Nothobranchius furzeri: one gene and its partner. The protein of the gene in region 2 purifies or fractionates together with the protein of the main gene of each other region. This does not show direct contact. Links are inferred from orthologs where the notes say so. Each region holds a gene or a part of one and is shown on either strand. Other genes may lie near its edges.

Region 1 (2,877 bases), on a different chromosome or scaffold from region 2:
TTTAAATTTGGATTTTTTACACAGAGTGACGTCCCCATAGATCTGCTGGACGTTGATAAGAACTCTGCTGTCGTCAGTTTTAGTGAATGTGACTCAGAGGTGAGCTGTATGAATACTTTCTTTACATAAAACCATCCTGCCTCCGCTCCAAACCGTCTGATGCTTGTTGTTATTTCAGCAGCCTAATGGGAACTTCCTCCTGGCCACATACAGATGTCAGGCCAACACTACAAGGATGGAGCTTAAGGTAAGCAGAACATTGGACTCTTGTCACTCTCTGGTTTGCAGTGAAGCCATGCAGACATGCCTTTAGTGTTTACTTTTGTTTATAAATCTATATTATCACATTAGGTCCAGTTTTCTCTGATTCTGGTTGCTTTTACTTTTTACTTAATCACTTACCATACTTGTTCAAAGAAAAGCTTTAATGCAGTGTTATACAGATGTTCTATTAAAAATTGTTACCTAATCTACTTTTTAAACCTGTTTTATAAATAATTGAACACAGAATAAAATGTTTAATCCCAAACTGAAACATTTTTATAGGTGAGATCCATTGAGGGACAGTATGGGACCCTGCAGGCTTATGTTACCCCCAGACTGCAACCAAAAACCTGTCAGGTTCGGCAGTATCAGATCAAACCACTGTCCCTTCACCAGCGGACGCACAGTATAGACCCAGACAGGTAATGATTTTAGTCTATATATACGGTATATACATGGATTTCAGTTATTCAGATTTTCTGATTAGAGCAGTCATTACTAAAAATGTATCAAATGACAGCATGGAATTATCTTGAGGCATAAGATTGCCAAAACTTATTAATAAACTCGATATCAAGAATTATGCATTTAGCCGTATTTATTAAGAGAATTGCTGTATAGCCTTCAACAAGACTACACTACACTACATTTGGCTTTTGAGAAATTGTATTATTTCCTTCTGTATGTGTTTGTTTGTTTCCGTAATCTTAGAGATTTCTCATTATAATTAGAGTTAACTCAGTAATGTGATCTCTCATTTGTTTTCTTTCAGACCCATGAATCAGCTCAATTTGGTGGGACAGTTCAGTTTTGCAGAGATTCATTCCTGGGTGGTTTTCTGTTTGCCAGAGGTGCCTGAGAAAACTCCGGCAGGCGAGAGCATTACTTTCTACTTCTATAACACATTCCTTGGCACACAGCTGGAAGCCACCTACAGGTAAATGCATGCACAAAGTAAAATAATACTGCACTCCATCTGAAATAGTACTTCAGTTGCGAACGAGTCTGAATGTCTCATTTCAGCAAAGGGGAGGGCCACTTCAAGTCCGACAATATTTCTACTATCTCTATACTGACTGATGTTCTTTCCAAAGAAGCTACCAAGAAGAAAATCAATCTAAACATTTCATACGGTATGTTTATTTTTCTTCTGTTTCCGGATAAGCTGAGACGTCTTTTGCCATCATTCAGCGACATAGAACAACATGTTTATTGATCTACCAGATATTAATGACGACTCCGTGAGCCACACCCTCAGGATGATCCACCCAAAGCTGGAGTATCAGTTGGTGCTGGCTAGAAAAGTTCAACTTGTCGATGCTCTCAAAGTAAGTTTTGGTTAAATGTGTTTTGTTGCTGTTTATTTATGATTCAGTTCATTATAGTTGAATCTATGTTTCCTAGGAACTTCAAGTTCATGAAGGAAATGCAGATTTCCTCATCCCAGAGTACCGCAGCATTTTGGATGAGTCTGCTAACCTTCTGGAGGAGTACAAGAAGCAGCCAGCCCACCTTGAAAGGCTTTACGGTAAAGCTGGAGTAAAAAGAACTAACTTTCACTGTTGATTAATTTTTGTTATTGTTGCTTTTTGATTTTCACTTTATAAAGTTTTGTGTGTATTTCTGTTTTCCTGCAGGAATGATCACTGACCTCTTCATCGACAAATTCAAATTCAAGGGCCAAAATGTGAAAACAAAAGTGTCCTCGTTGTTGGAGATACTTGATAATTACGAATTAAAGTCACTCTTAGACTTTTTCAATGAGCCATGATGCCATAATGGCCAAAGATGATCTATCTCTGTGACGGTTGTTGTGTTGCAATCTTTACATGACGATAGTTCATCTTTGAGACTGTGTTATTTTGTTAAATTTTATTTAGAAATAATTTACTCTCCCTTAAGAGTTGAGTAATAAATTACTTTTGATGTATTAAGGCGTACTGCAAATGGTTAGGAGAATACTGCAATACTCTTATTTTCATGCAAGAATTTGATGGAATTTGTTACAGTTATAGTATGTGTGTCAAATGCTACTCAATTTAATATCTAATCTTTCTGTATTAAACCAGTCCTTGTGCAGTAACTTGTCAGTAAAAAATAGCTAACACACCAATTGTTTTCAATTTTATTCCATATTATTTACATCTTAATGTAATGTACCTCATGCTACAACAGATTCGTCAAGAAACAAGTTGTTGCTGTATACTGGGTTAGGTACTTCCATGTGGATTTAAGTTTTATACACAAATTTATCTAATCAGCATAAGTGGTCATTCAACCTAATGTAAGAATAGGACACATGAAAAATAAAGCCAAACATAAAAATACAATAGTATTTAAACATTTTAAATTATAGTCTTATGAGTAATTTCTTAAACTAAACATATGTGCAAGTCTTTCAGTAAACAAGTATACTGGTGGACCTAGAAATGACCTCAAGCACGAGCCCTAGGTTAGGAAGACGTCTAAGTATGTTGAAGTGCTTCTAATGATATAAATATACATAATTGTTGCAGCAAAGATTTTTATTCCAAATGCGTTAACGTTGTTGTTACTCGCGTTTAACTTTGTATTTGGGATCTTTTTTTCAAACCGGTTTTAAATTTGCAATTA
Region 2 (4,300 bases):
ATCATGCCCTCTTCCCAAATGTCCTATTGGTGTTTTAATTGAAATGTAACAATCACAGTCTAAGATAAAGTTCATAAAGTTCACCTATATATGCAGCAGTAATTTTAGTTGCAACTTTTCCAAATATAGATTTAAATGATGGCATTGAGCCTTTTTCTCAAAATGTAAATGACTTACCGCGACTGAAGGTAAAGAGGAAACATCTTGGCCCCTGTTACTCACTAATGTTGTACACTAAACTTGAGTGGAAGAGCTCAGAATGGTCATAAGGCATTTGTCTGATTGGGTGACAAACCATGCGCTGCCTGTTAGTCTAATTTGATTACAGCTAGAGAGAAATGTGGAAAAGAAAACTTTCCATTTACCCCCCCCCCCCCCCCCCCAGGGTTTCTCCTAACAAGATAGAGAAGGAAGTTCCTTAGGTTTCAGCAAGGATGAAAAGATTTTTCAAGGTTTGATCAGGTTCACATGATTTCAATTGAATTTTTGCAGGAAAGACTCTAAACAGACCTTGAATGGGATCATAAATGTTAAAATTGGGCTAATGATTTGCAGAAATTGTTCTCCATGAGCTGTCACTGGCATTATCTGCCAATAGTTGTTATCACAGCATATGAAAGTTTTCAAACGTGCCCTATGAATAACGAGCTTTGTAGCTCCAATTTTTCTGGTTCTATACTGCCTTCCTCTGGTCAGTGCTACTCTGTGCAGCAGTGTTATAACAACCTGTTGTCAAACGTGTTTTAACTTTGGAAATAAAAAAATAAATGAAAAAATAAAAAATAAATAAATAAATAAATAAATTCGAACAGAAGAAATATGTGATTTCTGAAAAACTAAAATGAACTAAGGGAGAAAAACTATTGAAAAGTTGAATTTTTTTCTTTGTAATAAAACAATTCAACAAACCTCCCATAAAAAAATATCGGAGGTTTTGACATACAATGTTTCAGAACACATTTGCATTTACGATTTAAGAACACGGCAAGAGGCAGAATTAGAAAATATCGATCTTTAATACAACAAACATGACTTTATTGTGGAAATCATTGTTTGCACCCAGGAAAACAGAAAGCGTAGTGAATAAGACAATAAAACAACCAGATCTGGTTGAAATTAGCACATTTTTATGAGACATTTAATGCTCGAAAAACAAATCATACGATTGTTTTAGCTGGAAAAGCTGCACATTTGACAAAGGATAACTTAAAGCTTCATTTTATGATTAAATGCCGGTATAAACGTATTGCAAACGTAGCCATCACGAATATCTAACATTTTCGATGCAGAATTTCCGTTTTTAGTCATTTCTACATTTTTCACGTGATTTACGTAGCGCCTTTGAATGCACCTCTCGTAACCAAGGCAATGACGCTGTGTTTCGTTACCAAGGCATTCTCAAGGCAAACTTAGCTAAAAAGCTAAGCTAACAGATCTGCAAGATAATCTTATAGCTATGATATAGCGACAATTTAGCATCTTTAACGAGCTGAAAATACACAGAAAAGGGTTTCCTACATCCCGAGTCAACATATTTTGTCTAAAGCTTTTAGTTTGTTCCTAGAGTTGTCTAAATTAGAGTCAGAAAACCAATATTTCCTTTGGAAAAGCTCGGTCTACAAGCTACACAGCCATCATGGTAATTAGCTACTGCCGGGCATCGCGGTGTTGGCTACCTGATTTGCTTGTAGATGTCAAAATGCTGTTATGTTATGTTATGTTATGTTCCCTCTGAGCTAAAGTTAGCGAGCACTTCCATCCGTGCCAGCTCTCTTGATAAGGCCTTGTGGCATCTCGGCAAGAGAAAATCCTCTTCAAGTTAGCTGATAAGCTAACTGTGGCTACTATTACATCGATTGTTTTGGTGTATCTTCTATTTCTGAAACATTTTTTATGGGTCCAAATGTTTTTCTTGTCTCCATGCAGGCTGACTTTGGATTCAATGAACATCACCAGAATGAAATTATTAATTACATGCGATTTGCCCGTTCAAAGAGGGTCCTTAGGCTCAAGACTATTGACTCATGTTTTGAGGAACTCAAAGATAGCAGGTGAGTGATGATCACTTTTTCTGTCATTGTGTAAACGTCCTTTAATCTGATTTTGTGTAACTTTTTCTGTCATTGTGTAAACGTCCTTTAATCTGATTTTGTGTAAATAGAAATAAGATGTGATGCCTTTTCAGTTATTAGCATTTCTTAATGCGTCTGAAGGTTGGTGGAAGAGACATTCACAGTGGATGAGGTTAGAGAGATGATGGACGGGCTGCAGATGGTGGTGCGTGGAGAGGTGGAGATGGAGCTCATCAACACAGCCCACACTAACGTGCTGTTGCTCAGGCAACTTTTCTCCCAGGCTGAGAAGTTTTACCTCCGACTCCAGAGTGACATCTCAGAACTGGAGAACAGGTTTGGGAATCGGAAGTTTAATAGTCATCCTAAAGTATAAGATTTTACTTTTCTTAATGCATCATATTAAACCAACAAGTCTGAAAAGGCGATAATTGTTCTTTTTTTCAATGAAACTGTATCTAGTGGCTTTTTTGTATTTCTCATACTAGCTGTACTTATTTTCTGAAATAATTCAGTCTAATGCAAGAAAAAAATACTATAATGCAAGAACTCTTTATGTTTACAAGAACAAAAAAGCTGCCCCACTTTGTACCATACTGTATTTGACTTCCTCTTTAGATTCAGATCTCCAACATGCCATTTGCCAGGTAGAAAGGTCACTCATCCACCTGTGTTTAACTCAAGTTTCCATTGCACTAACACTTCTTCCATTACACTTATACAACAGGACTTTTTTAGATTAGATTGTGTAATAACCACAAGCTGTCACAATTCCCGTGCTTTAGGTTACAATAGAAACATGTTATCTTTTAGTTCATGCAGACTCCTGCTGTGATTTCTAATTTTATTGTTTTGGGGTGTTGAGGTAAAATCTTCAGACTTTTGGTAGAATGCTTTTAGTTTTTCTTAAATTACTTTTTTTCTATAAGATTTATTAGCATGCTGTGATAAAAAAAAAACTAAAAGCCAGGATTGTGCGAATAAAAGGCTCTCAAAGAATCTTTAGTGATCCGTTATTAGAAATAAATCTTATTACAACAAATCTGTTTATAAAAGCTTTCCAGCAAATTAAAATTATAGTTTCATTTGTGAATTTCTATAGATACTCATGCGAGTAGGTGAACATCTTCACCCGGTGGCTTGAGGCCATTTTTTAGCAAAGCAAATAGTTCTGAATGTTGAATAAAATAACACATTTGTAAATTTGGGACTAAATCAAGCTGCGTGTCCATTAAAAAAGAAAAAGCAAAAACTATTAATTTCAGCTTAAAAATACTCAGTTAAATGCTAAAAAAAATTGCTATAACTCATCACATTTTTACAGATACTGAACAAAAATTTCATGATAGCTGAGATTGTAATGTTACAAGATCACACCAAATGTTATTTCTTTTAAAAGATCTGAATTAAAACAACAGTAACTTCCTAATTTCTCATAAGATAATCTTGCAGGCAAAATGCCACGTCTAAATTTAAGTTATTTCTTCAATCTTTACTTATTATTTATAGTTTTTTTGGTAAATTGATTATTTTTATTCGTTATTCCCAAACACGAACGCATTTTTCCCTCAGTCAGCTCATTGAGCAACGTGGAGATGTACATGTGCATCTCCATGGGGCGACGGTGGCACAGGAGTTAAGTGCTCGCCCCGTAATCGGAAGGTTGCAGGTTCGAGCCCCGCTCAGTCTGTCGCTGTCGTTGTGTCCTTGGGCCTGCTGGTGGTGGTCGGATGGACCGGTGGCGTCAGTGCTCGGCAGCCTCGCCTCTGTCAGTGCGTCCCAGGGCAGCTGTGGTTACATCGTAGCTCATCCCCACCAGTGTGTGAATGTGTGTGTGTGAATGGATGAATGACTGATTGTGTTGTAAAGCACCTTGGGGGGTTCCAGGACTCTAGAAGGCGCTATATCAAATACAGGCCATTTACCATTTACCATTAATCGCTTTTGGATTCTTGGCAAAATCTTGACATTTTTGCAACAACATTTCTTTATATTCGTGCTTCAGGTTTAAAAATATACTCAAGAACACGTAACAGAGAAATAAATAAGACCAAATATTAGATTTGATTAAAAAAGGCCATCTTGATATCCAAACCGCATGCTAGCTTTCTAGAGATTTGAAGAATATATAAAATTATAAATACTTTTCATGTGCATCTTGCACAAAAGGTCATACCCTTTTGTTCTGTTCATAACATCATTTAACTTCTGGCTTCTTGTATTACTGG

The links.
Region 1: the proteins of lztfl1 (region 2) and bbs7 purify together in Homo sapiens (affinity purification with mass spectrometry; 3 studies listed by BioGRID and IntAct, counting the BioPlex papers as one, with this or other methods). This does not show direct contact. The link is inferred for Nothobranchius furzeri from reciprocal best matches to the Homo sapiens genes LZTFL1 and BBS7.

The regions. Positions count from the first base shown.
Region 1 is NC_091741.1:74,291,698-74,294,574, forward strand, and holds the end of bbs7 (Bardet-Biedl syndrome 7 protein), read left to right. Parts: intron 1-24; coding exon 25-99; intron 100-178; coding exon 179-247; intron 248-546; coding exon 547-686; intron 687-1,036; coding exon 1,037-1,201; intron 1,202-1,287; coding exon 1,288-1,397; intron 1,398-1,488; coding exon 1,489-1,592; intron 1,593-1,668; coding exon 1,669-1,792; intron 1,793-1,901; coding exon 1,902-2,035; 3' UTR 2,036-2,377; downstream 2,378-2,877.
Region 2 is NC_091747.1:45,027,241-45,031,540, reverse strand, and holds the start of lztfl1 (leucine zipper transcription factor-like protein 1), read left to right. Parts: upstream 1-1,500; 5' UTR 1,501-1,636; coding exon 1,637-1,639; intron 1,640-1,926; coding exon 1,927-2,051; intron 2,052-2,213; coding exon 2,214-2,408; intron 2,409-4,300. UniProt on the Homo sapiens protein: Regulates ciliary localization of the BBSome complex. Together with the BBSome complex, controls SMO ciliary trafficking and contributes to the sonic hedgehog (SHH) pathway regulation. May play a role in neurite outgrowth. May have tumor suppressor function.